Oryctolagus cuniculus: one gene and its partners. Each later gene encodes a partner of the first gene's protein in a complex. Links are inferred from orthologs where the notes say so. Each region holds a gene or a part of one and is shown in the gene's direction. Other genes may lie near its edges.

Region 1 (4,548 bases):
GAGGATGGCCCAGGTCCTTGGGCCCTGCACCCCATGGGAGACCAGGAGAAGTACCTGGCTCCTGCCATCCGATCAGCGCGGTGCGCCAGCCGCGGTGGCCATTGGAGGGTGAACCAACGGCAAAGGAAGACCTTTCTCTCTGTCTCTTTCTCTCTCACTGTCCACTCTGCCTGTCAAAAAGAAAAAGAAAAAAAAAAAAAAGCCTGGCTCTAAAACTAGGCCTGGCATCTGTTCATACTGGACCTGTGCCAGGCATTTGCTGAGTTTGTAACCTTGGCCAAATCCTCTCCTCTCCTGTGGCCTCGGTTTCCTCACCTGTAATATGAAAATGCCAGGATGGATCAGTGACTTTTGACCAGGTCAATAGCATAAAAAACCAAAGCAGCTCTGGTGGAACAAGGAGTGGGTGCTGGGGTATAATGGAGGTAGTGTCCTAAATTCTCAGCCTTCCCCTTCACTACCCATTCTGGCCACAAAACGATTCTATAACTCCAGGGAGTATACTTTGAAAGCCACTGGACCAAGTGGTCCAGGAGCTTCCTCTGAGCCCTAAAAACCTCTGCATCCTCCCCTTCTTTTGGCTGCCAGGAAATCCTTCTCTTTGCTCAGTGCCAAAAGAGAGAAGAGTTTGAGGGCTTAAAATAATAAATGTAAAACCGGTCTTTCCTCCTCACTGGACAACACACACAGGTTGTTGCTACAGAGCACCTCACTTTGATATTCGTTGGTGGAAAGCCTTCCTTCCACACCCTGAAAGGAACAGTTCTTTATGCAACACTTACGACCAGGCCTGTCAATGATACGCTGAGCATCTCTGGGTGTCCTGAGGGGGTGTCTTTAGGGCTGATTAATCACACACTACCACTAACAACTTTAGCCTTCCAAGACCTGGCCCCCGTCCCTCGGGGCTCTGAAGAACGTCAGAAGCTTCCATCCCAGTGGTGCTGAATCCATTATGAAGCCGACAGGAGAGTGATGGTCTTTTCTGAGGTGCTGGGATGGGCTGAGGGTTACACGGGCTCAGTCTCCTCTGGGGTTTCCCGTTCTGCTCATCGCTGTGTGTTCCAGCGCAGGTCACTGGACCTTTTTTCATGAGCCTTTTTATCTGCGTTAGGCATTATACCACCTTACAGGGCTGTGCAACGCTATTCGCAGGCAACTTAAGCAGAGGAGGAGGGTGGAGGAGAGAAGCAGAGAAGCCAGTTCCACGGAGGATTCTGAGCGGAGCAGCGTTGGGAATGGCTGGCTGAGCGGGACCTTCGCAGGCACGTGCAAACGCTTGGGAGTTGGAAAACTTCGGAGTAACCAACCCAAAGTCAAAGCTTAAGCTCGCCTCAGTTCCTGCATGTCCAAACTGAGGCCATAACCTGAGCTCCGCGGAAAGGCGTGACGTTTAAGTATGATAATAGATTAGATGGAACGATTAAAATCCAGATTTGAAGCACCACCTCCAAACTCGCACCGTGACTTACCTTTCTGCCTTCCCGCCACCGGCCGGGGCAGGAAGTGGCGGCTCGGGGGAAATTCAACCCAGTGACACAGCCGGAAGTAAATGGGCGGGGTTCCACCGGCAATCGCGATGGACGCGGCCTTAAACCAATGGGGAACGGAGGCGTTTCCGCTTCCGCCAATAGAGCAAGGACCTGGGCGGGCCCTTGCAAACCGCCGTGGTAACAGCCGCATGGTTACCCGGGCGCCAGGCGCGCAGCTGTAGGTCCTGATTTTCCACGTTGGTTTTGGCTCCCGTCGCCTGCAAAAATGAAAATTGAGGAGGTGAAGAGCACCACGAAGACGCAGCGCATCGCCTCCCACAGCCACGTGAAGGGGCTGGGGCTGGACGAGAGCGGCTTGGCCAAGCAGGCGGCCTCAGGGCTCGTGGGCCAGGAGAACGCGCGAGAGGTGTGGCGGGCGGACCGGGGAGCTGGGGGCTCCGGCAGGGCCGCTGCGGCGCCACAGCCGCTGAAGCGGGGGCCGGGGGTCTGCCCCGCATTTCCGCAGGGCAGGGTGGGGGTGGGAGAAAGGCGACGGGCCGCGGGGAGCAGGGGGCGGTTTGTGCCAGTTCACCGACAGGTGTTGATGGCGCTCCCGGCTGCGTGCCAGGCCTCGGCTGGCGACGCCGGGATGCGGCGGGGAACAGGATAGAAAAGGTCCCTGCTTTCCCGGCGCTTACATTTCCGTGCGGTGAGCTGAGAGGATAAACGTGTGGGCCGATAAAATGACTGTGTCCTGGTAGGGGTCCTCTGTGCAGGGTTTTGTCGGCATGGCAGGGAAACTGTAGGAGTTTGAAAGCTCGCTCTGGTTCCCAGGCCCGGGAGCTGTGAGAGGAGTGATCTGATTGACCCACTCCTGCAAGCATCTTTCTTGGTCGCTCCGGTCCTGATTTTATTAAAGTGACAGGGATGCCAAGTCCATTCCCCTACAATATTGTTTTACCGGCAAAAAAATAAGGATGGGAGAGGCCGCTAGTCCACTTGCCACTGTAGTTTAAAGGGTAAAGCTGGCATTCGCACGTCCATGTGTTTCTGCCGCCCTTTCTCAGCCCCCTGCGCTCCAGGCTAAGAGCCCTGCCCTAGAGGCTAGACAGCTACAAAACCCTGCACTTTATATGAAGTGAAGACATGCCTCTCAGCCCGATGCTGCTCATGGAAAGGGCCAAAGACAAGCCCCTGGTTTCTGTTTTGAGCATCATCTTTCCAGTAGGGAAACGTCTGACCCTGACTCAACAAAGCACCTGTTACTGCAAGCAGCTAGCATGGATTGGGCCAAGCACCATGCTAAGCAGCTGTGTTCCCACTGTCTTGTTATTCACTTGCAGTCTAATAATTTTGCTCCCCCACTCTAGTACTGTATTCCTCAACGTAGGAAATGTTGGCTCGTTCAGTAGATATCTGCCCAAAAATCTACAATTAATATTTTTGCCATTGCTTTGTCACGCATCTATTCATCTATCCAGCTGCCAGTCCACTTTGACATTTCAGAGTAGATGGCAAACATCCATACAGCTCACCCCTAAACCCTTTAGGGCCGATGAGGTTATGTGGGCTAAGGTCCCCGTGCTGGTGGGCGGTAGAGCCAGGAGTTAAACTCAGGTCTGTGTGGCTGCAGAATCCACGCTCCGAACTCTGATGCTGTGTTTCTCAGGCCCACCTTTGCTGCCAGGTTCTTGTATGGGGCTGGTGGTGTCGGCAGCCTCTCTGGCGCTCAGTGTGCTCGTCTGAGAGCCAACATGGACTCTAAGGCCTGTTCGGTTCTTTTTCGATGTCAGGGTTCACCGTGTGTCTCACTGCAGGGAAGCTGGAGGGTAAACTGAAGGAGAATACATGGAAGAGGTTCTGTCTGTAAGAGAGTTACAAGTGCAAAGTTTGGAAAGCCGTCTCCGCCTTATTTTGAGTTTCCCAGGAGCTCCAGTGCTGAGGATCATATGAAGACTATATGGGAGACCACAGCAAGTCTCCATCCTTTTTAGCAATATAGCATCTGAAGAATACCTAATAGGCTCTGTAACGGGCACTCTGCTCATTGAAGCAGCAGTGAATCTAGCACGTGCACACACAGTCCTTGCACACACGTTTTAGGGGCTGCTATAGTGTGTGACTGAGGTACTTCACAGTCCACAAGGAATAGAGAGAGCAAACGCGTTCACAAGATCTTGTCAGTAGGGAACAGTATGACCACTGCCTTCCTTCAGGCAAGGAGAAGGTACCTTTTAGGTTTTGTATCAGTTATTAATTCAAGGGAACAAAGCTTATATTATGTGATCCTGGGATGTGGGTCCTCAGTACTGTGACTTTCTCATCCTTACACCTTTGTGTCAAATATTCTACAGTGTCTGAGGACTGGTAACCCATTTGTGTGTGTGTGTGTGTGTGTGTGTAGAATACACTGACAGGGAATTGAATACTTTAATCTTGGGGATTCAGAAGGCATCGGTGGATCTAGTGGTGCCACAGATTTACCCTCACGTCCAGTGTTGGCTTTGCACAGTTCACTGATGGCCATCTAGGTGCTGGTATCAGGGATTGTTTTTGTTTTATAAGATTTATTGTATTTATTTGAAAGAGTTACAGAGAGAGGTAAAAGAGATCTTCCATCCACTGGTTCACTCCCCAAATGGCCACAACGGCCAGGGCTGAGCTGATCCAAAGCCAGGAGCCAGGAACTTGTTCCGGGTCTTCCACGTGGGTGCAGGGGCCCAAGGACTTGAGCCATCTTCTGCTGTTTTCCGAGGCACATTAGCAGGGAGCAGGACCAGAAGTCGAGCAGCTGGGACTCAAACTGGTACCTATATGAGATGCCAGCACTGCAGGCCGGGGCTTTAATCTGCTGCACCTCGGCACTGGCCCCAGTATCATTGATGCTGAACCTTTAGTGGGTTAGTTGGGAATCTGATGAGAGCTATTAATCTGCCTCTTGGAAAAAATGTGCATAAGGACATATAGATAGAATTTTGTTTCTCTTTTCAGGTGCTGTGTGGGCCCCTGGAGTTTCTCTCTGTATTCTAGGCTAAAAATCACTGCCCCCACTTGTACTCCTGCTGTGCGTTCACAC
Region 2 (4,380 bases), on another chromosome or scaffold:
AAGTCCTGGCTGCTCCACTTCCAATCCAGCTCCCTGCTAATGCACACAGGAGGGCAACAGAGGATGTCCCAAGACTTTGGGCCCCTGTACCCATGTGGGAGGCCTGAAGGAAGCTCCTGGCTCCTGGCTTCAGCCTGGCTCAGCACTGACAGTGGCAGCCATCTAGGGAGTGAACCAGCAGATGCAAGATCTCTCTCTGCCTCTCCCTCTCTGTCTGTAAGCCCTTCTGCCTTTCAAATAAATAAATAAATCTTTAACAACAACAACAACAACAACAAAACTCTATACCATCTGTAACTGTCACAGGTAAGCCATTTAACCAGTCAAGGGATGTTACAAGTGTATTATTCGGCTAGTATTCTAAGAGGACCTTGCTGTTTGAGAACAGACTAAACTGAAGGACAGCCATGACAAAGGAATATAATAATTGGATATCATGTCTAGGTCTAAGACCCTCTTCAAATTATCAACCTACAGAAACACGAAATACTTGTCACCCTACCTCTCCTTACACTTACTATCAATGCCTGGCTGAGGCCTCTAGGCTTATCAGTTCTCAGTTTAATGCTAAAGACAGTCCTGACCATCAAAGGACAAGAATGCTTGGGACCACTGGTCACAGCAACACATTTGGTATCTTGACTGCATTTAACTTTCAACACTAATTCTTCTATATAGAAATAAAGAGGTGGCCCTTTGGCTGGTGCCGTGGCTCAACAGGCTAATTCTCCGCCTAGCGGCACCGGCACACCAGGTTCTAGTCCCGGTCGGGGCGCTGGATTCTGTCCCGGTTGCCCCTCTTCCAGGTCAGCTCTCTGCTATTGCCCGGGAGCGCAGTGGAGGATGGCCCAAGTGCTTGGGCCCTGCACCCCATGGGAGACCAGGAGAAGCACCTGGCTCCTGCCTTCGGATCAGTGTGCTGCGCCAGCCGCAGCACGCTGGCCGTGGCAGCCACTGGAGGGTCAACCAACAGCAAAGGAAGACCTTTCTCTCTGTCTCTCTCTCTCTCCACTCTGCTTGTCAAAAAAAAAAAAAAAAAAAAGGTGGTCCTTTTAGAAACCTAATGAATCATGGGATTTCCCATAAGGTAAGTGGGTCAGCAGGTCACAATGTCCCAGAATTCCAGAACCTGGCATAACAGAGCTGGGAGGGCCTTCCCAGATCATTTCAGTCTTGTCGCTTCATCAGACAACATGGGGTATTGAGGGTCCGAATGGGCAAAGCCCAGACCCTACTTGTAACCTCCTTTTTCCATTAACTCATTTGTAGCTGTGAAAGGAAAAATAGAATAGAAAGGGCAAGACTAGAGAGACTAGAGTATTATCACTTATTAGCTCCAGAGGCTCACTTCTTCGACTTCCTGAACTGAGACTCAAGGCTAAAGGTAATCTTCATCAGAGGAAACTGTTCCTATAATGACTATTCAGTCCTGAACCTCTTCCTTGTCTGTCTTTTGACTGATACCCAGGTTCAATTATCATAGTCCCCATAGGAAGGGGATAGCCAAATCTTGGCAGCAGGATCATATTACAAAAATAAAATGGTCATGCCAAGCTCCACATCCTATAAATTTAGGGTTTCCTCCACTAGAGTTTCTTTGTGAATTCCTTAGACTTATACTTCCTTTAGCCCTAGCTGGTATCATCATTTCATTGACCTAAGCTGCAGGTTGGTTCTTTCAGAAAGAAGAAAATGCGGTTTCTCATTAATTATCATTTTTTCTATATTTATAATTAATTATATCTTATAATTATAATCCACTATTCTAATGAAATGTACTACACTGATTTTGGAGTTCAACCTTTCCTATCCTATTTCATTAAGATTTCAAATTCCAGGTATATAACCCTCTTCATCCAGGGCCCTCAAGAGACAAGAACAACAGATTATGGAAATGAATCCATTATCTTCTTTCTGCTACTTATGTAACCTCTCTAATATCTTAGTGGTGGATTCATGTTTAGGGTAAATGATTAAAGAGAGAGAGGAAAGGTAAAAACAAATTGCTATAGCTTTAAGATGTCACTGATTCCATCCGGATGGTATTCCTCAAGCAAGAAATATCCAGTGAGGACTGCAGCTACAAAATTGTCTCCATTTCCTCCCTTTGTCTTTCTGTGGGGTACGGGTGGGTGCACACTGCCTCTATGACATCTTCCAACCAAATGAACAATTTTACATGTGGACATAAGCACATTTGGCCATAATGTCAAAATTCTGGTTTGAAGAACCAATAAGCAAATTTCTTCTGTTTTTAGAGGAGGGGTTGGGGAGGGGAAGAATCAGGAAGGGAGAGTACATGAGTCCACAAGATAATGAGAAGGCTAGGGTTTGGGGAAAGCTAAGGTTAGAACTATCTGGGTTTTGCTTGATTATTCATTTTGCTTTGTGTTTTCAGAAGTCAGTGTTCTCTCATGAGTTCTTCCTCTCAAAATTGAAAACTTTTAATGTTTTCCCTTCGCATATAGGTGGAGGACCAGTCCTTGAGACCAGCTTTCACCTGCAGGTGCGTCATCTCCCTTGGATTCATTCACAAATTATGGTGGAGTAGCTACCACAATAGGAACTGTGCTAAACACACAGTATACACAGTTAAGAAGAAACTTAGCACTTAGCCTCATAGATCTTGTATTCTAGCAGGGAAGACAGACTTGGACTAAGTTCCTGGATGATAGTGAGATGGAGAAAACGGGGTGGGGGGGTGTTGTGGAAATACGTAAGAGGGACACTGACCTACTCGTGGCCCAAGTTGGGGAGGGAATGTCTAGAAAGGCTTCCCTGAGGCAGACACATTTCAGATGTGACCTGAAAGAAAAGGAAGAAGCAAAGCAGCAGGAAGGACCAAGGAGACAAAGGAGAAGGAAAGTGCGAAGTGTAACAGAGCTTTGAAGAGGGAAGTGGTATAAAAGATTCTCATCTGAAAAAAAAAATCTGACCGCAGTGTGGAGAACAGATTGTAGGGAAACCACAGTAGGTCAGCAGGTGAAAACAGTGGTGTCTTGCAAGGAGGCGTGTCACAGGTGCTGAGGGAACAGAAAGCAAAAGCACTTAACTAGAGGCTGGGCATCAGGGAAGGGCTCCGTAAGGAAGTAACATTCCAAGTGAGACTTGCAGGCTGGGTTCGCCATGGTGAGGGAAGTGAGGGAGTGAGGAGTGAAGAGAGGCCCGGACACTAACCTTCTCCTTTAACCAAAGCAGGTCTCATTTTCACTAAGGACCTCGTCCTGGTCTGGAATGCCTGGTACCTTTTCTTCCTAGCCAAACAGTGCCTATGTTTCTACAGCCCTCCCCAGTGCCAGGTCCACTGATGACACCCCAATACGACTTACTGTTCCTGCTTATAAATTTCTATTCCATACGTATTGCTAAGCATTAAAGATCTACTATTCAGGGTAGTTACTTAACTTCACACAGATTCACATGTAAGCTACTTGGATTTGCAAACTCTTTTCTATTACTTTAGCATCATCCAGGGTATCTAGCACAATGAGGGACTGTGTGACACAGTCATTGAATGAATGAATGAATGAATGAGGCACTAGAGTCTCTGCAGACCTCCTTTAGATATTCACTATTATCCGTGAAGCTAATAGGAAAGGGATGTACTTTGTGTAAAAGATTCCTACAACTTGCATGCGAAGACCTGAGATCTGAAATTGACTATTCCTTCCCACTGGTCACTGCTTCTCACCCCCTTGCAATCCTGGTCCCCACCCCGCCCCCCCAACCTTCTATTGTTTCTTCTGTCTTCTGGTTGTCAGCCAGGATGAGAAAATGGTCAAGCTGTCCTCAGAGACTTACGCCAGCCTGGGCTGCTCTGCAGTGCCATGAAGGGCCAGGACTTTTGTTTACAGCTGGGAGCATGGCGAGGCGGTGAGCACAGCTGACAGCCCCACTCTGGGGCAAACATCAATCTTCCTCTGTCCTCTCAGCCAAGTCTCACAGACCAGCTTTATTGAAAGCTGGCTGCACCCGCCTGGGCTCACTGATGTCCCACCCACAACTCGAGCCTGGGAGTAGCTGGGTGAATCTCAGCTTTGTACCTTTTAGGAACTGCCCTTGCTCTCCTCTCTGTCCCTGTTTGCAAATCGGCTTATCTCAACCTCTGGGCCTCGAAAGAGCATGTTCTGAGGACCTCTTGCCCTAAACAGTGCCCCTCCTCTCCAACCATATCTGCTATCTCCCAACAATGTACCAAAGCTCTCATTTGCTCAATTACACAGTAAAAACACAACCGCCACCAAACCCAGAACTAAACCACACAGCTTTCAATGTATACTCTTTGGAATCTGTCTTTCCAAGCTGAGCGGCCATATTGCAGGTTTTTGAAAGTGTGTGCATATGTGTGTGTGTGTTTTCTTCGCCTTCAGATGGATTTCC
Region 3 (3,861 bases), on another chromosome or scaffold:
TTTTTTTTTGGGGTCTTTAGGCATCCCCTGAGAGCATGTTATCTCCCTCACATGGCTCAAATCCCATTGAAGATCCTTTAGAGACAGAGACTCAACACAAATTTGAAATGTCAGGTAAATAAAGACCAGGAAACCTGTACTCTGTGACTAACTTGAAATCATTTGCTTTGGCTTCTAAGGGATTGTGGGTTGTGGGCAAGTACAGGAAGTAGAATAGGTCAGCATGGAAAGGAGAGCTGCAGGGGATTACGGTCCATAGTAGGGGAAGGCTAAGGTGGAAAAATCTTCAGGTAGTCTTTCTCTCCTCTGCAGACTCATTGAAAGAAGAATCAGGGGCTATTTTTGGAAGCCAGATAAAGGTATTTCAGATTTTTCTTTATTCCTCTTGCCATGTGATAGATTTCCCTATAGCACTCCCTTTTTTAATGAATTTCAGTAAACTCACAGCTTTATTCTCTGAGATGAGACTGGTAAGGAGTTGCATGGGGAAAAGCTGTAGTGGACAGTCAGGCATATGGGAGTACATATAATTACTGCACGTGCTACCCATCTGAACATTACATGGTTATTTTCTTGGCATGAAGTATACAAAGAAGCTCTGATGCACCCCAAGTGATTTGGAGTCAATAGGAATACTAGAGCCAGGAAGAAACTATAGAAAATCAGATTTTTTTAGACTATTCAAAGAGAATCATCTGAAGTTTTTATTTTAGAGTTACTAGAGCAGTAATAAAAAAGATTTGAAGTAATGCGATGTGAGCTTGCTCCATCAAATGAGACACGAAGTAAAAACTATTTTTGATAACTTTGTACCCAGGGTCAGAGTTCCTCTCAAGAGCAAGGGGAAAGAAGGAACGCCTCTTAGCTTAGTCTTAAGTAAGTAGCTTTTTTTTTTTCTTCCTTTTAAAAAGATCCTGGATTTTATTCTTTGTCCAGGTTCTAGATTACTTTATTTAGTCAGTGTCTGCTAAGTAGATGGTAGTATGAGTGATAGAGGGCTCAAAGTGTGAGGCCATTTCTAGAGTTGATCTAACCCAAAAGACAGACCATGTTTAATGATGCTTTGCTGGATAGCTTTACGTGCATTTGTTGACCGGAGCACACTGTGTCTAAGGATGCCCCAGGTGAGGATGAGGAAGAAGATGGGGTCAGTGAAGCAGCCAGCCTAGAGGAGCCTAAGGAAGAAGATCAAGGAGAAGGCTATTTGTCAGAAATGGATAATGAACCCCCTGTGAGCGAGAGTGATGATGGCTTTAGCATACACAATGCTACACTGCAGTCACATACACTGGCCGACTCCATCCCCAGCAGCCCTGCTTCTTCACAGTTGTGAGTATTAGAGATTTCTTTGTTTGAGTCCAAGGCAGTCAAGGTGAGAAGTAGGAGAAAATCTTTCCTTTATTTCTTTTTTAATTTTTATTTTTTAATTTTTTTTTTGACAGGCAGAGTGGACAGTGGGAGAGAGAGACAGAGAGAAAGGTCTTCTTTTTGCCATTGGTTCACCCTCCAATGGCCGCCGCGGCCGGCGTGCTGTGGCCGGCGCACTGCACTGATCCGATGGCAGGAGCCAGGTACCTATCCTGGTCTCCCATGGGGTGCAGGGCCCAAGCACTTGGGCCATCCTCCACTGCACTCCCTGGCCACAGCAGAGAGCTGGCCTGGAAGAGGGGCAACCGGGACAGAATCCGGCGCCTCGACTGGGACTAGAACCTGGTGTGCCGGCGCCGCAAGGCGGAGGATTAGCCTAGTGAGCCGCAGCGCCGGCCACTCCGCCTTTCAAATCAATAAAATAAAATAAAATAAAAAAACAGTAAGACTAAAGAAAAGATTTTTGGCCAGCGCCGCAGCTCACTAGGCTAATCCTCCGCCTTGCGGCGCCAGCACACCAGGTTCTAGTCCCGGTCGGGGTGCTGGATTCTGTCCCGGTTGCCCCTCTTCCAGGCCAGCTCTCTGCTGTGGCCCGGGAGTGCAGTGGAGGATGGCCCAAGTGCTTGGGCCCTGCACCCCATGGGAGACCAGGAGAAGCACGTGGCTCCTGGCTTTGGATCAGTGCGGTGCGCCGGCTGCGGCGGCCATTGGAGGGTGAACCAACGGCAAAGGAAGACCTTTTTCTCCGTCTCTCTCTCTCTCTCACTGTCGAATCTGCCTGTCAAAAAAAAAAAAGAAAAGAAAAGAAAAGAAAAGAAAGGCGGAGTGATAGAGGGAGAGAGATATCTTTGATCCTCTGGTTAACTTCCCAAATGTGGCAACAGGTGGGGCTGAGCCAGGCTGAATCCAGGTGCCAGTAACTTCATCCCAGTCTCCCACATGGGTGCAGGGGCCCAAGTACTTGGGCCATTTGCTGCTTTCCCTCCCTGGAGCATTACCAGGCTCAGCAGTGGAGTAGCCAAGACTCGAACTGGCACCCATATGGTTGCCAGTGTTGCAGGTGGTAGCTTAACCTGCTATGCCACATGCCAGCCCCCTTTTCTTTAATCTTATTTTCTCATCTTCCTATTCTTGGCCTGGAAGAAATAACTGACATGAAATAATTAGGGCTTTTTTTTCTTTCACCTTGCCTACTGATCTGTGTGTCTATTTCAGTTCTGTCTGTAGTGAGGATCAAGAAGCTATTCAGGCACAGAAAATATGGAAGAAAGCCATCATGCTTGTGTGGAGAGCGGCAGCTAATCATAGGTGAGTGGCTTTACCCATCAGTAGGTTCATTCCCTCCTGGTCCTCCTCTTTGTAGATGAAAAGAAAGCAGTCTAAGTAGGCTTCTGTGGGACTGTTGGTGGTGTCTCTACCTACCTTTAGCTACTTGATCTAAGTTCCTTCCCATGTGCATCTGTTTAGTAATTGCATGTTAATTATTTTCGGACAGATATGCGAATGTCTTCTTACAGCCTGTTACAGATGACATAGCACCTGGTTATCACAGCATTGTACAGAGGTAAGCCATGCTCTGCTGACTTGCCTGAATTATAAATTGTCCAGTCTTAGTGAATTTTTACTTTAGATCTAAGTACAAAGGTAGATGTTGTGGCATAGTCTGTTAAACTGCTGCTTGAGACACCCGTATCGCGCATATTGCAGTGCTGGTTTGAGTCCCATTCTTCCGCTTCCAATCCAGCTTACTGCTGATGCACCTGGGAGGCAGTGGATGATGGCCCACGTACTTGGACTCTTGCCATCCATGTGGGAGACCTGGGTGGAGTTCCTGGCTCCTGGCATTGGCCTGGGCTGTCCCCAGCTGTTGTGGGCAATTGTGGAGTGAACCAGTGGATGCAAGATTTCTCTCTCTGTCTTAAGTGCATGTTTTGGAGTGGGGGCTTGGCATTTGTGTCCTAGCAGCTAATAATGAAGGAATAAGGTATATGTAAGAAAGTTTATCATGTATTATCATGTTTATCATTTATTCAGAGATCAGGTGAGTCCTTTTCCCACTTCTGCTGCTCTTTACTCCTCTTCATTTTTTTAGGCCTATGGATTTATCAACTATTAAGAAAAACATTGAAAATGGACTGATTCGCAGCACAGCTGAATTTCAGCGTGACATTATGCTGATGTTTCAGAATGCTGTGATGTACAATAGCTCAGACCACGATGTCTATCACATGGCAGTGGAGATGCAGCGAGATGTATTGGAACAGATCCAGGTACTTCACGAATCCTTTGTGTTTTGGGAAGAATGAAGTGAAAATTCTCAAGGAAAGGTGCTGTGGCTTTTATTCGGAATAGCCACTGGGGACATAGTTAGAATATTTTGGTTCATACTGAACTCAGGTTGATTTTCCCTGGTTTGATGAAAGAGTTATGATAGAATACCTTTCTTGGGCAAATAGCTTAAGCTCCCTGAAGTTTTTTAATAAAATTTTCTGT
Region 4 (3,351 bases), on another chromosome or scaffold:
AGAAGGTCCTATCTGTATCACTTTTACTGCTATCAGATAAAGAAATAAAAAGTTGTTAGATTTTTAGAATGATTTTTATCAGCATTAATGTTCATGTACTTTTTTTTTTTTTTTAGTAGATGTATTTTATTTATTTGAAAGGCAGACTTACAGAGAGAGAGAGGGAAGAGGCAGGTCTTCTATCCATTGGTTCACTCCCCAAATGGCCACAATGGCCAGTTAGGTCAGGCTGAAGCCAGGAGCCTGGAACTCCATAAGGGTCTCTCACATTGTGGCAGGAACCTAAATACTTTGTCCATCTTCTGCTGCTTTCCTAGGCACATTAGCAGGGAGCTGGATCAGAAGTTGAGCAGCCAGGACTTGAACTGGCACTCATGGGATGCCGGCATTGTAAGTGGTGGCTGAAATCACTGTACCACAATGCCAGCTCTCATAATTAGAGTAAGAAGCATATTGGATGTTTATTCTACAGGCATATATTACAGCCAAGGGACCCACAGAACTAGATTTTATTCTTTCACTCGGTAAATCCTTATTGTGCAACTGCTTATATATTTTTTAAATATATATATTTATGTATGAGAGGTCTACAGACAGTTCATGGAAAATGCATATTAACTTTTAGTTCTTTTTTTCAGGAATTTTATAAAGCCCCCTCATATAAATAAATGTATTTTTATAAAAGATGAGGAAATGCACTACTCATGATAAGGAATATGTGTGGATTAACTTTTTTTCTGTACCTTTTTCATATTTGAAGCTCTGAATTGGGGGAGTATAATGGTAGAAACATAGAAATACAAAGTATAGGGGTTGGTGCCATGGCTCACTTGGTTAATCTTCTGCCTGAGGCGCCGGCACCCCATATGGGTGCCGGGTTCTGGTCCCAGTTGCTCCTCTTCCAGTCCAGCTCTCTTCTGTGGTCCGGGAAGGTAGTGGAGGATGGCCCAAGTGCTTGGGCGCCTGCACCTGCGTGGGAGACCAGGAGGAAGCCCCTGGCTCCTGGCTTCGGATTGGCGTAGCTCCGGCCGTAGCAGCCGTTTCGGGGGTGAACCAATGCAAGAGAGACCTTTCTCTCTGTCTCTTCTCTCTCACTGTCTAACTATCTGTCAAATAAAAAAAAAAAAAATACGTAGGAATACAAAGTATAACCTTGATTGTAGATAGCAAAATCAAACTAAATATTTTATCCACTCTAATTTTTTTATTGTTTCTCCTACAATATAAATGTTTATTATTGGCCGGCGCCACGGCTCAATAGGCTAATCCTCCGCCTAGCGGCGCCAGCACACCGGGTTCTAGTCCCGGTTGGGGCACCGGATTCTGTCCTGGTTGCCCCTCTTCCAGGCCAGCTCTCTGCTATGGTCCGGGAGTGCAGTGGAGGATGGCCCAAGTGCTTGGGCCCTGCACCCCATGGGAGACCAGGAGAAGCACCTGGCTCCTGCCTTCAGATCAGCGCGGTGTACCGGTTGCAGCGCGGCGGCCATTGGAGGGTGAACCAATGGCAAAGGAAGACCTTTCTCTCTGTCCACTCTGCCTGTCAACAAAAAATGTTTATTATTTACTGTATTTTCCAAATGTTTGACTTATTAGAAGCAACAAAGTGTATCAGCAGAAGCACAGCCTGGAAAACAATTCTGGATTAAACCCTTGGTCCATACCGAATCAGTTCTGGTCTGAACCTCATTTTCCAAATTTCTAAAATGGGAATTCTGATAGATGTTTCATGGGTTACTGTGAGAATTAAGATGATGTTTCTCTGCCACAAACAGACTTTAGTATCAGTTACAATATTCTTTTTCCTTTTAGGCACCTTCAGATAATTTGCTTGTTTCCTGTTCTTGTAATAGAAGTAGAGGGCCCAGAAGGGGGAAAACAACAGTATTTTGTGGTAGTGAACAAGATCTTTCTTTTTGAGTTTTCTCTGCTCATGTGAAACTTACACTTATTTCTAAACCTTAAATGATTTTCCGTGAAGTTGGGTAGAGCTTGCCACATTTTAATTACTAATGTTTCAATCATTTTACTTGTTAATTTCTATAAATCATCAGTTGATTTCTATAAGATCATCTGGATTCATTTATTTTATGTTTACTTTCAGTCCTATTACTTATGCCTGGGAAGGTGGAAAATTGATATCAGAGAACGATGATTTTGAAGATATGGTGGTAACAAGAGAAGACTATGAAGAAAATGGACATAGTATCTGTGAAGAGAAATTTGATATATAACAAACATTTCTGAATGAAAATCGTGACTAGTTGTGACTGAAAGGTTTACTATCAACTTTCCTTTAGAATTGGTTAAGGACCTGTGTTATCTTTCACCCTAAGATAAAGTCTTAACTAAATCCTTTGACCCATGGCTAATTTTCACAGTCTTCTTAGCTACATTATTACAATAATCTGTAACTTAGTTCATAATTTTATTTAGAAATTGGACTGCCATGCAATACTTATGAGAATATGTTATATGAAAGAGGGCATGTTTTTTAAGTCTAATTCTTCATTGCCAGGAGCATACACTAAACTTTTTCATTGGTCTGTTTTACTTAGTAGGTAATTTTTCATTACTTTACTAGGAGTTGGCCAAAGTGTTTACGGGATAATATGATTTCTCTCTCATAGATCCAAGTATTTTATTTAAAAATCATTATTTGTATTTATACATAATAAAGTTGGAAAGACTATGTGTAATGTTTATTTTTCACTTAGAATGAATGAGTGGAGACCAAAGCCTATTTACTAAAGACTTTTAAAAATTTTTTATTTATTTATTTGAAGGTCAGAGTTACAGAAAGAGAAGAAGACTGATATATATATATATATATATATATATAGAGAGAGAGAGAGAGAGAGAGAGAGAGCGAGCTTCCATCTACTGGTTTATTCCCTAGATGGCTGCAATTGCCAAGGCTGAGCCAGGCTACAGCCAGGAGCTTCATCTGGGTCTCATGTGAGTGGCAGGGGCCCAAACACTTGGGCCATCTTCCACTGCTTATCCCAAGCCATTATTAGGGAGCTGGATTAGAACTGGAGCAGCCAGGACACGAACCAGCATCACAGGCAACAGGTTTATCTGCCACGCCACAACAGCAGCCCCACTACTAAAGACTTTTTGATCACTGCTATGTTGGCAGAAATGTATTATTTCACTCATAAAAGTACTATACTGCTTTATTTGAAGTAACTCAGTTCAAAAATTCAATACAAATGTTAGCAATTATTTTACAAACTCTTAGGTAAACAAATTTTTAAGTTATTAAAGAACAGCTTTGTGATGTAAGGAAACACCTGACAGTGACATTAGTGGAGTAGATACTCATTTGACTATTTTCCTCAAAATAAAAGG
Region 5 (3,861 bases), on another chromosome or scaffold:
CCAATTGGCTGGAATGGCCGGAGCTACACCGATCTGAAGCCAGGAGCTTCCTCTGGGTCCCCCACCATGGGTACAGGGGCCCAAGAACTCAAGCTGTCTTCTGCTTTCCCAGGCCATAGCAGAGAGCTGGATTGGAAGTGGAGCAGGCAGGACTCGAACCAGAGCCCAAATGGGATGCCGGCACTGCAGGCAGCAGCTTTACCCATTACGCCACAGCGCCAGCCCCCCATTTGTTGATTAATGGACAAATCTGCATCACTGATTGGAGAAAGAGCTGCAAGTCTGAGGTGTTGAGCCCAGTCGACTCCTCTTTCCTAAAGTGTTTGGGCTTTTTCCCCACTTTCTTTCCAAGGTGGCTGCCATTCTAGCCCTAATGTATATTACATTAGAGCTAACGCTTCAGATTTTCTACTCCAGCTCATCAAACTGAGCTCTGTAACTTTCTTAAATATACTTTGTACGTACTTTTTACCCTTCTACCTATTTTTCTCAGTAACTTTACCTCAACAGTGATTATCATGCTGGGACAAGTAAGGAGGAGGTAGTTGAAAATCATTGGCCCTCAGGTGTTTTTTTTTGTTTTGTTTTGTTTTTAAGATTTATTTTAGGCCGGCACCGAGGCTCAATAGGCTAATCCTCTGCCTGCGGTGCCGGCACACCAGGTTCTAGTCCTGGTTGGGGCGCCGGATTCTGTCCTGGTTGCCCCTCTTCCAGGCCAGCTCTCTGCTGTGCCCTGGGAGTGCAGTGGAGGTGGCCCAAGTCCTTGGGCCCTGCACCCGCATGGGAGACCAGGAGAAGCACCTGGCTCCTAGCTTCAGATGAGTGTGGTGAGCTGGCCGCAGCACACGGCCACAGCGGCCATCGGAGGGTGAATCAATGGAAAAGGAAGGAAGACCTTTCTCTCTTTATCTCTCTTTCACTGTCCACTCTGCCTGTCAAAAAAAAAAAAAGATTTATTTTATTTATTTGAAAGACAGTTACAGAGAGAGGTAGAGACAGAGAGAGAGGTCTTCTATCAGCCGATTCACTCCCCAGATGGCTGCAACGGCCAGAGCTACAGCAATCTGAAGCCAGGAGCTTCTTCCAGGTCTCCCATGTGGGTGCAGGGGCCCAAGGACTTGGGCCATCCTCCACTGCTATCGCAGGCCATAGCAGAGGGCTGGATCAGAAGAGGAGCAGCCGGGATTAGAACCAGCGCCCATATGGGATGCCGGCGCCTCAGGCCAGGGCTTTAACCCACTGTGCCACAGTGCCAGCCCCTGGCCCTCAGTTTAAAACTGAAAGTTTATTATCCTGAAATTGTAAACCTCTGCAGAGACAAAGTATAACCTTCTTTTCAAATCTTATAGTCAAAGTGGGACAATTACAGGATAGTCAATGTGGAAAGGTGGCTTCTTGCCAGAGATAAACCAACCAACCAACCTTCTTTCCTTCCTTCCTTCCTTCCTTCCTTCCTTCCTTCCTTCCTTCCTTCCTTCCTGTTGTTGTTGTTGTTGTTGTTGTTGTTGTTTTTTAAGATTTATTTATTTGGGTACGGCACTGTGGTGAAGCGTGTTAACGCCCTGGCCTGAAGTGCCAGCATCCTATATGGGCGCCAGTTCAATTCCTAGCTGCTCCACTTCTGATCCAGCTCTCTGTTATGGCCTGAGAAAGCAGTAGAAGATGGCCCAAGTCCTTGGGACCCTGTACCCATGTGGGAGACCCAGAATAAGCTCCTGGCTCCCGGCTTCGGATCGGCACAGTTCCAGCTGTTGCGGCCAACTGGGGAGTGAACCAGCAGATGGAAGACCTCTCTCTCCCTGCCTCTCCTCTCTCTGTGTAACTCCGACTTTCAAATAAATAAATCTTAAAAATAAAAACTTTATTTTTTAAAAAAGATTTATTTATTTATTTGAAAGTCGGAGTTACACAGAGAGGAGAGGCAGAGAGAGAGAGAAAGAGAGGTCTTCCATTTGATGGTTCACTCCCCAGTTGGCCGCAACAGCTGGAGCTGCGCCGATCCAAAGCCAGGATCCAGGAACTTCTGGGTCTCCCACGTGCGTGCAGGGGCCCAAGGACCTGGGCAATCTTCTATTGCTTTCCCAGGCCATAGCAGAGAGCTGGATCAGAAGTGGAGCAGCTAGGACTCGAACCAGTGCCCATATGGGATGGCGGCACTGCAGGTGGTGGCTTTACCTGTTACATCACAATGCTGGTCCCAACTTTTTGTTTTTCATTTTTTGGATTCTAAAGTGTTATCCACCAGACTAAAACCTGTGCCCCAGATCTGGCCCACTGTTTTGTTGTTGTTTGTTTTTTAAAGACTTATTTTGAAAGAGTTACAGAAAGAGAGGGAGAGACAGAGAATGAGAGAAGAGATCTTCCATCTATACTGGTTCATTCTGCATATGGGCACAATGACTAGGGCTGAGCCAGGCTGAAGCCCAGAGCTTCATCTGGGTCTCCCTCATGGATGTAAGGGTCCAAACACTCGGGCCATCCTCCTGTGGTTTCCCAGGCACATTAGCAGGGATCTAAATCAGAAGTGGAGCAGCCAGAACTTGAAACAGTATCCATGTGGGATGCCAGCATCACAGATGGCAGCTTTACACCTACTCCTGTGCTACCTGTTTTAATCTGGCCCTTTATAGAAAAAAGTTTCCTGATTTGTGGTCTAAAAGATTAAAGTTTAGACCGTTTCCCACCACCAACTGGTAGCAAATATGCCTTCCTCTGATTTGCCATAGTTGCCGTGTTGTACTTTATGTGTTGCCGTGTATTAAAACTTCTGATTGTGTCCTGTCCTTCACTAGACTGTGAACCCACTGAAGGTAGGAACCAAACCGTATGCTCTTGTTCCGCAGTACTTACCACAGTGTTCTGCGGGTAGAGGGCTGTCTGTGGATGTTGCAGGGGCGTGCCAGTAGAACCAGAGGTTGGCTAGGAAGGCTTCTCCCCTAAAAGGAAAGAATAGCTCGGTTGGGAAGGAGAGTGAGGCAGCCCTTATCAGGAAGGTGAAGAAATTCTGTTCCTCGTGCGTGCAGGGGCATTAACGAGTCTGCTCCCAGTAAGCCCTCGCCTCCTTGTGTCCTCAGGAGTCGGGAGATGATGAATATCAAGGGGACCAGTCAGACACAGAAGACGAGGTGGATTCTGACTTTGACATCGATGAAGGGGATGAGCCATCCAGTGATGGAGAAGCCGAAGAGCCAAGGCGGAAGCGCCGAGTAGTTACCAAAGCCTATAAGGTGCAGGGGATTCCTGGTTCCCTTGGACTTTCTGAATTCCTACTCTCTTCTTCATCAGGCCCAGAACGCTCCATATCAGCCCCATTTCTACAGTGCCAGTTTTCTCCCTCTCTTTTTTTTTTAAACCGTGCACAACAATTTATTTATTTATTTATTTTCCGAAAGAAACCTTTTATTTAAGGAATACAAACTTCATGCATTTCATAAGTACAGCTTTAGGAATATAGTGATTTTTTTCCCACCATACCCACCTTCCCCCCAACATTCCCACCTCTCCTCCCTCTCCCATTCCCAGTCCCATTCTCCAAATAACTTTATACACAGAAGACCAACTCTATACTAAGTAAAGAGTTGCCAGTTTTCTCTTGTTAAGATCCTCATCTTTCTCCCTACGTCTTCTGTTCTCTGGTATCTGATTCCAATCTGTCCCCAGGAGCCTCTCAAGAGTTTGAGGCCTCGAAAGGTCAGCACCCCAGCTGGTAGCTCTCAGAAGGCCCGAGAAGAGAAGGCACTGCTGCCACTGGAACTACAGGATGATGGCTCTGACAGTGAGTACAACATTTGGGTCAATTAACAAAACTGGAAAATGGTCATGAATTATTTTATCAGTATTACATTTTCTGAAGTTGATAAC
Region 6 (4,536 bases), on another chromosome or scaffold:
GCTCTCTGCTATGGCCTGGAAGACAGTAGAAGATGGCCCAAGTCCTTGGGCCCCTGCACCCGCATGGGCGACCTAGAAGAAGCTCCTGGCTCCTGGCTTCAGATCGGCACAGCTATGTCTGTCGCAGTCATGTCATGTGGGGAGTGAACCAGCGGGTGGAAGACCTCTCTCTCGCTCTCTCTCATTCTCTCCACCCCCTGCCTCTCTGTAATTCTGCCTTTCAAATAAATAAATAAATCTTTATAAAAAATACCCATTCTATGGCAAATAAAAACAGGGGCCTGCGCCGTGGCTCACTTGGTTAATCCTCTGCCTCGCAGCGCCGGCATCCCATATGGACACCAGATTCTGTCCCAGTTGCTCCTCTTCCAGTCCAGCTCTCTGCTGTGGCCTGGGAGGGCAGTGGAGGATGGCCCAAGTGCTTGGGCTCCTGCACCCTCATGGGAGACCAGGAAGAAGGCTCCTGGCTTCGGATTGGCACACCACCGGCCATGGTGGCCATTTGGGGAGTTAACCAACAGAAGAAGGACCTTTTCTCTGTCTCTCTCACTGTCTATAATTCTACCTGTCAAAGAAATTAAAAAAAAATAAAGAAGCCTGTTCTAAATTTCAGATAGACAGATACATGGAGAAACATAAAAATTTACCAGTCCAGACCTCATATAACTTTTCTTACTAGAAGACCCGATGAAAGATATGCTAGGGCTTAAAAAAAGCCACCAAGTACATCTATTAAGTCACACAATTTGTCTACATCTCATAAGTGCACTTAAGCATCTCCATAGAACATCGTGATTCCCAACACTGGAATATAATTTTCAAATATGTGGTCTCATATGCAAATATAAAATAAACACATATCATGGTTTTATTTAACTCATTAGTAAATGAGGAAACCAGTCAGATATGAAAATCAATTCAAAGAGCATTTGAAAAGCAAGGAATTTATCAGTCAAGAAATGTCAGACAGGACCTCAGTGTTACATACATAACTGATTAATGTCTTCCAGATAATAAATCATAACCTTGGAAGTATCTTATTGACCTAGTAGAAATTATTAGCATTTTTACCAGTCAAAAATCCACACGTTTGCCTCTGCTTTTGTCCCCTGCCTGCACCAGGTTGTAAAACAGTTCAGTTCATTGAAAGTCAATCCTAGAACAGCACTGAAAGAACATCAGGTAATCTCTTGCCTATTTCCAACTTTTGGTCATTTTTTTTTTTGCAAGAATGAGACATTACAAATATTGCATAGGATGTACACTAATAAAAGTATTCATTCACCTGAAATTCGTATAAAATTGTATTTAGCTGAAAACCCTAGTTACAAATTAACAAAAACTTTTCCAATTCTGTAGGGTTCGGTTGCCAACATTGTGTCTATGAAATCTGTGCTTTAGTTCAGGATCTGACTGGTTAATAACTAATTGGTGTTTCTACTGCGCGTCTGTTCTTTATTTGCACCAATAGGGGGCGCGTGTAACTTGTAGTCCAAGAGCCCACAAAAGTGTTTCTACCTCCGATCCGCTGGGGGTCGGCGTATGAATTGCTTAGATTTCGCAACCGGGCTCGAAACACTGGCGCTCTAGGCATTTGTGCGCATGCGTAGAACCGCTCTTGGCGAGGGGGCGGGGGCGTCAGGCCCGGACTGCGCAGGCGTTGGAGTGAGCGCGCGGAGGAGGTTGGTGAGACCTCTGCAAGGCAGGTGACGCTGCCGGCGCTGTGGCTGGGGCGGTCGGTGGTGGGACTCTCGGGAGCTCTGGTGAATCCTGCGTGTCTGCGGCTGGTTGGAGATGCCCGGCCGGGGCGTGCACCCGGAGGACAGCGCTGTGCCGGTCCCCGCCGGCGGCCGGACCTTACACAAGGAGGATCTTTGCAACAAGGTGGGCGTGGGACGCAGCGAGCAGGCCTCCCGGGCTTAGGACCCGGCGCCTGGGGCAACCCAGAGAGGGCCGGCCGCGAGCAGCGCGGGGCTTCGCTGGAGACGGCCTCGGCTTGCGCTGCTCTGCTGTTGGTAGCAGTCGGCACTTCCCCTTCCCTGGAAGTAGTCGCGCTAAGCGTCTTGTGGGCTGAGTTTCCGCGGCCCTTCCAGATCTGTAGCTCACCCCTTCCGTTACCCCTGCCAGCGGCATGGGCTCATCCTTGACGTCGGTCTACACCTGAAACCCACTTCCGGTACGAGTGTGACTTTAGTCCCGAGGACGCACGCTCCTGCGTCCCTGAACGAGCCGCCCTCATCGGCTGCCCCGGACCCCCGCAAAGGGCTCCCTAGCCCACCTGCTGCCTTCTCTGTTCCCCGCTGTAGCCGCAGTGGCCGCCCTAAACCTCGCACATCTGATTGTCACTCATCTGCGGAGAAAGAGGGGGAGGGGAGCCACTCTGATACTGACCTGAACTGCCGGAAACAGGTGCAACCTTTAAACGTGTGGAGGAGGGAGTTCAATGTCCTGCATTCTTCACTGGTTCTGCTCCAAGCTAGTAGTGGTGTCTTGGACAGACCTCTCTGTTCTCTCTGCATCACAGCTTCCTTCTTTGGTGGGAAGTGAAATACAGACCTGACATCCCTAAACTGCACAAGAAAGCACTGTGGTACAAGCGTTAAGTCTCAAAGAGGGGGAGGGTATAGTTTCAACCTTGGAAGTCAGCCTTATCCTGTCCCTTCTGCAGCTGTGTCAGCTCTGGAGACAACAAGGGGGAGACTCATGGGGCAGGGAGTGAATTTGCAAAATACAGCCCACTCTGCTGCCGACCTATGGCAGATCCCTCAAGTGTGTGGTGCAGTGTAAAAATCTTACATCTGGTTTTAGAGGCGCTGGTGATGTTAGGTAATAGATCGTGTTCATAAAATAGCCAGTTACTAGAAAGTATCAGAAAGTTTGCACTTACTTGAGTTCTCTCCTGAAATTGAAAAGTGAAGCCAGCACTGTGCAAAGAAGATTGATGCCAAGACAGGGGGATTTAGAACTACTTGGTTAAAAGGACTGTCTAGCCGCACCATTTAGTACACAAATCGTCAGAGACTGGTATTACTTCTGGTGCATATCGTCTGTTTGTATAGGCCTTGTTCAGTAACTGTGGCCACAGGCATGAAGGCCGGTTGCCAACATCAAACCCACTGGCTGGGCTCCGTGGGTTGTGTGACATTTAGATGTCTAATGCCCATTTCCCCCTCCACCTGTGCACACATAGACTGGAAAGAATCTTCTCAGACTGCCCATTTGGACAATCAGCGCATGATACCTTCTTACGCCATCTGCCTAATTTTAAAGCCGTCATCTAATTGAACATGTTTTTAAGAGTTAAAATTCTGTTTTAAGCGTTTCTCTTTATTTCAGTAGATTAAAGAACAAAAAGTCGTTGTGGATGAACTTTCTAACCTGAAGAAGAACAGGGTGAGTTATAGAAATTCTGAATAGTATGTGGGAAGCTTGGTTATATTTATATTATATAAAATCATAAAAGTTGTATGGAAGGTTTATATAAAGGTTGACAAGTTTTCGGCATCTCTTTAAATTGCAAAAGCCCAGTGCCTACGTTTATTTTAAACTGTACGTACATAGATCTCATAAAGCTGAAGATGTCTCTTCCTTTTCATATGCCATTTACACGACCTTTAAAGCTAATGACGCAGATTGGATTTTGGTATCTTCAAGCTGTACCACTAATGTAACTATTTTATGCTTGAATTTGGTGTGTATTTTTGAAATAAATGAACTTAAAGTTTATTGAGAAGAAACTATCCCTTAAAGTAAATGTTGAACAAAAAATTACTTCTCTCACCGCCCCCCCAAAATCTTCTCAGTGCTTAGCATTATTTTTAAATGCAATTTCTGTGTATATATTCATAAGCAAGCCATCTTTGTTGCTTCATGTGTAGTTATACATTAAACTACATTAAAATTACATTTTAATGTTCAGGAGTAAATGACTTTGAGCTCTTTCAAGCGCCTAAAGATTATAACTGACAGATTAGACATTTCTGATATTGTTGCCAGCTACAAAGATGTCCATCACAACACTGATCTATAATACTTGAGGGACAGTAATACCTTAAATGTCTAACATTTGAGGATTGAGCAAATAAATGTAGTATGTCATACGATGATATTATAAAGGAATACATATTGATAAGAAAAAGTGTTCTTGATATAGTCATTGTAAAACTATAGATGATAGTAGAAGCCTTTTTTATTAAAATAACAGTGGTATTATGGTTTACAAGGGAAAAAAACAAGTTTCACCTCACTGGTAATGATAATAGTGTCTGGGTGGCAGGATGGTTGGTAACTTTTATTTGTCTCTTTGTTATCTGTATTTACTAAAGTAAATTCCCAAAGTTTACAAGTATGTAGTAGTAGGATTCAAAGATTTGACATCTTTTTAGATCATATCTTGAGTTTGGCCTAAATTCTGTTTTGCAGAGAGTATACAGGCAACAGCAGAACAGCAATATATTCTTCCTGGCAGACCGCACAGAGATGCTCTCTGAAAGCAAGAGTAAGTTGGGTTCCTCTTTGTTTTCAGACTTTACATGA
Region 7 (3,861 bases), on another chromosome or scaffold:
GACCAGTCCCCAACAGGGATGCCAGCCTGGCAGGTGGTGGCTTAACCCTCTGTGCCACAACACTGGCCTCAAAACATTTTATTTAAATTTTTTTTTTTTTTTTTTGGACAGGCAGAGTGGACAGTGAGAGAGACAGAGAGAAAGGTCTTCCTTTGCCGTTGGTTCACCCTCCAATGGCCGCCGCGGCCAGCGCGTTGCGGGCGGCGCACCGCGCTGATCCTATGGCAGGAGCCAGGTGCTTTTCCTGGTCTCCCATGGGGTGCAGGGCCCAAGCACTTGGGCCATCCTCCACTGCACTCCCTGGCCACAGCAGAGAGCTGGCCTGGAAGAGGGGCAACCGGGACAGAATCCGGCGCCCCGACCGGGACTAGAACCTGGTGTGCCGGCGCCGCTAGGCGGAGGATTAGCCTAGTGAGCTGCGGCGCCGGCCATTTTATTTAAATTTATTTTTAAAGCCAGAGAGCCAGATTTCCCATCTGTTGGTTTATTTTCCAAGCACGCACAACACCTGGGGCTTGGCCAGGTAAAGACCGGAAACTCCATCCTGGTCTTTGTGGGCGGCAGGGACCCGGCCTCTTGAGCCATCGCTGCTGCCTCCCAGGGTGGGGTGCGTGGGGAGCTGGGATCGGGAGTAGGGCCTGGGCTTGGACTCAGGCACTCCCATGTGGGTGTGGCTCCAGATACCTGCCCCTCGAAACGTCCTACCTAAAGCCATCGTCACCTCACACGGGGCAGGGCTGTCCCTGGATGTGTTCCCCGCACCACAGGGCATCACAAGACCCCACTTCCCACTCGGTCCTGGCCCCTCTGCCCGCCTCAGCTTCCGGATCTGTGAGCCAGGGCTGCTGGGCCGCAGTGACTGAGAGGGGCCGGGGGCCCCGGGCCCCCAGGCTGGCAAGTTGTGGCACGCACCAGGTGTGCACCTTCGCGCCTGGGCTGCTCCGAGGACAAGGCAGACTGGGCCCGCCTTCCCGGGGTGTAGACAGCTGCTGTCCCGCCTTGCTTCCCCTGGTGTCCCTAGAGGTGTCAGGGCGGGTGCCACGTGTGTGGTCGCCCTGGCGGTGTGCCCTCGGCCCCTGGTGGCCTGACCTTGTTTACTTGGGCCGAGGAAGCTGCCCTGTGCCCTTTGGGCAGACAGGCTGCTGGGCGCTGGGGCCGTCGGTCGCTCACCGTGTCTTCCCCGCGTGCCAGGCTGGACCTGTACCGCGCCTCGGGGAAGTTCGAGCTGCTGGACAGGATCCTCCCGAAGCTGCGCGCCACCAGCCATAAGGTGCTGCTCTTCTGCCAGATGACGTCCCTCATGACCATCATGGAGGACTACTTCGCCTACCGCGGCTTCAAGTACCTCAGGCTCGACGGTGCGGCCCGGGGCTGGGCGGGGCCGAGCGCAGCGGCAGGCAGGCCTGCAGGCCAGGCGCCATGGGCCCAGATGCATGGGTACACTCAGGACGGAGACCCCGGGGTGGGGTGCACTTGCTCCGGCACAGCTGTGCCCAGGGGTGCAGGTCACGTGGGAGGGGCTTCCCACACACACACACACACGCCCTTTTTTATTTGAGAGGCAGACACAGCCTAGGAGCTGTCATCGCTGGTTCGCTCTCCAGATGCCCATCACAGCTGAGTCTGGGCCAGGCCAAAGCTGGGAACTGAGTCCAGCTCTCCCCCGTTGTGTGTTAGTGGGAAGCGGCCCAGGAGCCGAGCTGGGACTTGAACTCTGGCACTGTGGTGTGCGAGGCAGGTGTCCCAAGTGCAGCTCGACCTGCAGCAGGCGCCCACAATCCTCCATCGTGGCCTGACCCTGCAGCTGCCTTCCCAGCCCCCCGCACCTGCTCAGGGAGCGCAGCAGAGGCCGCCCTGCCCTCTTTCCTGCTGTGGTCTGGGGCTCTGAGCCGTGTGCCCACCTCTGTGGTCTTTACAGCAGCCGGGGGGGCCGTGGCCCTGCCTCAGGCCAGCCCGGGAGCTGGAGTCAGCCCTGCACTTGCTGTCGCCTAGCCCCATGTGCCGTGTCCCTTCACAGGACAAATCAGTGCGTGTTTCTGGCCCTATGGCCTGAGCACACGGGACTTTGGGTAGGAGGCCTGGTGAGGGGCCCAGTGGGCACCTGGGCCATGTGGTCAGCACCACGCCGGTCAGGAAGGCTATGGAGTGCATTCCCCACCCTGTGTCAGCCAGAGGGGTTAAGTGAGGTGACCCAGAGACGGAGCTTGGGACCTGCGGGGACCAGCAAGGCCGAGGAAGCCCAGACCTCCCGGCTCCCTCTGCTCGCTGTGCTGTGTCTTGTGTGGGCAGTGGCGTTATTTCATGGGCTGGGCTGGCCAGGCCGCCCACCTCCGCAGGCGCCCACCAAGAGTGTGCCCCGTGTGTGCGCCCAGCTCTCAGCCCTTCCTGGGACTCGCTGCAGGGCCACCTGCACAGAGCACGTGTCTGTCCTCCTGGGGCTCCTGCTCCTTAAGCTGAAACCACACCCCCTCAGCCAAGGCACCCCTCCTGGCCCAGTGTTCTCCCCGCGCGCTCCGGGAGGCTGAGGGCTCAGCCTGCACCTGGAGTGCCTGGGGGTCGTGGCCACAGGCACTGAAGGTCTGTTCAAAGAGCCAGGGAGGTGGGGGGAGCTCGGTGATTGTGGGGCGAGTGGGAGGGGCTGGGGAGGGGTGGGCCTGCAGGCCAGGATGGCATTGCTCTTCCTCTCAGCATTGCAGCCCCTCCCGTAGGGGCCCTCACTGGCTCCTCTGCCTGCGCTGCCCTCCTCGCCCTGGGACGAGAGTCCCCTGTAAGGCTCCTGGGATCCTGGCTCTGCGGCCTGTGAGATCGTTCGGTCTGGCCCTGCCAGGGCCACCGCAGGCAGGACTTGAAATTCAGCACATTCACGCAGGCTGACTTTCCAGCTGCTCATTTTGTGTGGCCCGCGAGTGATGTGTGTGCAAATGGCCCTCGCACTGAAATGGCTCCCCAGTCCTGCTCAAAAGGCTTCTCTCCGTGATGTGGTGGAATCTGCCAGCCCCTGGCCTGCAGTGCAGTCCTCTGTCACTGTCTGCCCGCCCCAGGGGCCCTCCTGTGTCTTGGGGGACAGTGGTGTTGGCACCTAAGCTGGTGCCACAGGAGGTATCAGGCCGATGGCGGCCGTGGCCTGTGCTGCAGCCCTTCCTTTAGTTCTCTGTGTTACATGGTGTCAGCCAGGGCCTGGGGGAAGGAGGTGGGCACCCGCTGGTGGCCACATGGAGAGGGCGTAGCTGGGGCTGTGTGTCTCTCCTGCCCTGGGGGAAGGAGGTGGGCACCCACTGGTGGCCCACAGAGAGGGCGTAGCCGGGGCTGTGTCTCTCTCCTGCCCTGGGGGAAGGAGGTGGGCACCCACTGGTGGCCCACAGGGCGTAGCCGGGGCTGTGTGTCTCTCCTGCCCTGGGGGAAGGAGGTGGGCACCTGCTGGTGGCCCACACAGAGAGGGCGTAGCCGGGGCTGTGTGTCTCTCCTGCCCTGGGGGAAGGAGGGGGGCACCCACTGGTGGCCCACAGAAAGGGCATAGCCGGGGCTGTGTGTCTCTCCCTGCCCTGGGGTAAGGAGGTGGGCACCCGCTGGTGGCCACACGGAGAGGGCGTCGCCAGGGCTGTGTGTCTCTCCTGCCCTGGGGGAAGGAGGTGGGCACTCGCTGGTGGCCCACACAGAGCGGGTGTAGCCGGGGCTGTGTGTCTCTCCTGCCTGCTGAGCTGTGGTCCTGTGCCGGCAGGAACCACCAAGGCGGAGGACCGGGGCATGCTGCTGAAGACCTTCAATGAGCCCGGCTCCGAGTACTTCATCTTCCTGCTCAGCACCCGCGCCGGGGGCCTGGGGCTCAACCTGCAGTCGGCGGACACTGTGATCATCTTCGAC

Evidence for each region.
Region 2: RUVBL1 (region 1) and MORF4L2 share a complex: the UniProt entries of both Homo sapiens proteins name them as parts of the nuA4 histone acetyltransferase complex. The link is inferred for Oryctolagus cuniculus from reciprocal best matches to the Homo sapiens genes RUVBL1 and MORF4L2.
Region 3: RUVBL1 (region 1) and BRD8 share a complex: the UniProt entries of both Homo sapiens proteins name them as parts of the nuA4-related complex. The link is inferred for Oryctolagus cuniculus from reciprocal best matches to the Homo sapiens genes RUVBL1 and BRD8.
Region 4: the proteins of RUVBL1 (region 1) and ACTR6 are in contact, whole or in part, in a cryo-EM structure (PDB 6IGM), measured with the Homo sapiens proteins. The link is inferred for Oryctolagus cuniculus from reciprocal best matches to the Homo sapiens genes RUVBL1 and ACTR6. Residues at the interface, in NP_003698.1 of Homo sapiens: Lys162, Thr163, Ala164, Lys165, Gly166, Thr167, Tyr209; in NP_071941.1 of Homo sapiens: Tyr217, Tyr300, Arg338, Cys339, Leu340, Thr341, Pro342, Thr343.
Region 5: the proteins of RUVBL1 (region 1) and VPS72 are in contact, whole or in part, in a cryo-EM structure (PDB 9CA9), measured with the Homo sapiens proteins. The link is inferred for Oryctolagus cuniculus from reciprocal best matches to the Homo sapiens genes RUVBL1 and VPS72. Residues at the interface, in NP_003698.1 of Homo sapiens: Thr136, Leu138, Pro140, Glu142, Met147, Tyr150, Gly151, Lys152, Thr153, Ile154, Ser155, His156, Val157, Asp173, Pro174, Phe177, Glu178, Gln181, Ala187, Gly188, Arg205, Thr208, Tyr209, Ala210, Thr211, Glu212, Phe213; in NP_005988.1 of Homo sapiens: Ile212, His215, Arg263, Thr264, Phe265, Ile266, Thr267, Phe268, Ser269, Asp271, Phe274, Trp277, Phe278, Gln280, Gly281, Arg282, Pro283, Pro284, Lys285, Val286, Pro287, Arg289, Glu290, Ala299, Leu300, Tyr301, Arg302, Pro309.
Region 6: RUVBL1 (region 1) and ASDURF share a complex: the UniProt entries of both Homo sapiens proteins name them as parts of the PAQosome complex. The link is inferred for Oryctolagus cuniculus from reciprocal best matches to the Homo sapiens genes RUVBL1 and ASDURF.
Region 7: RUVBL1 (region 1) and SMARCA4 share a complex: the UniProt entries of both Homo sapiens proteins name them as parts of the BAF53 complex. The link is inferred for Oryctolagus cuniculus from reciprocal best matches to the Homo sapiens genes RUVBL1 and SMARCA4.

What each region holds. Positions count from the first base shown.
Region 1 is NC_091441.1:110,808,794-110,813,341, reverse strand, and holds the start of RUVBL1 (ruvB-like 1), read left to right. Parts: upstream 1-1,648; 5' UTR 1,649-1,758; coding exon 1,759-1,899; intron 1,900-4,548. UniProt on the Homo sapiens protein: Possesses single-stranded DNA-stimulated ATPase and ATP-dependent DNA helicase (3' to 5') activity; hexamerization is thought to be critical for ATP hydrolysis and adjacent subunits in the ring-like structure contribute to the ATPase activity.
Region 2 is NC_091453.1:89,766,392-89,770,771, forward strand, and holds the start of MORF4L2 (mortality factor 4-like protein 2), read left to right. Parts: upstream 1-1,271; 5' UTR 1,272-1,384; intron 1,385-2,468; 5' UTR 2,469-2,506; intron 2,507-4,380. UniProt on the Homo sapiens protein: Component of the NuA4 histone acetyltransferase complex which is involved in transcriptional activation of select genes principally by acetylation of nucleosomal histone H4 and H2A.
Region 3 is NC_091437.1:25,975,835-25,979,695, reverse strand, and holds part of BRD8 (bromodomain-containing protein 8), read left to right. Parts: intron 1-20; coding exon 21-114; intron 115-312; coding exon 313-359; intron 360-1,114; coding exon 1,115-1,329; intron 1,330-2,583; coding exon 2,584-2,676; intron 2,677-2,863; coding exon 2,864-2,932; intron 2,933-3,460; coding exon 3,461-3,638; intron 3,639-3,861. UniProt on the Homo sapiens protein: May act as a coactivator during transcriptional activation by hormone-activated nuclear receptors (NR). Isoform 2 stimulates transcriptional activation by AR/DHTR, ESR1/NR3A1, RXRA/NR2B1 and THRB/ERBA2.
Region 4 is NC_091442.1:103,144,156-103,147,506, forward strand, and holds the end of ACTR6 (actin-related protein 6), read left to right. Parts: intron 1-99; exon of another isoform or gene 100-2,101; coding exon 2,102-2,231; 3' UTR 2,232-2,689; downstream 2,690-3,351. UniProt on the Homo sapiens protein: Required for formation and/or maintenance of proper nucleolar structure and function. Plays a dual role in the regulation of ribosomal DNA (rDNA) transcription.
Region 5 is NC_091438.1:46,923,385-46,927,245, forward strand, and holds part of VPS72 (vacuolar protein sorting-associated protein 72 homolog), read left to right. Parts: intron 1-3,074; coding exon 3,075-3,227; intron 3,228-3,660; coding exon 3,661-3,775; intron 3,776-3,861. UniProt on the Homo sapiens protein: Deposition-and-exchange histone chaperone specific for H2AZ1, specifically chaperones H2AZ1 and deposits it into nucleosomes.
Region 6 is NC_091434.1:50,691,613-50,696,148, reverse strand, and holds the start of ASDURF (ASNSD1 upstream open reading frame protein), read left to right. Parts: upstream 1-1,596; 5' UTR 1,597-1,794; coding exon 1,795-1,884; intron 1,885-3,339; coding exon 3,340-3,393; intron 3,394-4,422; coding exon 4,423-4,498; intron 4,499-4,536.
Region 7 is NC_091447.1:66,607,195-66,611,055, reverse strand, and holds part of SMARCA4 (transcription activator BRG1), read left to right. Parts: intron 1-1,191; coding exon 1,192-1,358; intron 1,359-3,718; coding exon 3,719-3,861. UniProt on the Homo sapiens protein: ATPase involved in transcriptional activation and repression of select genes by chromatin remodeling (alteration of DNA-nucleosome topology).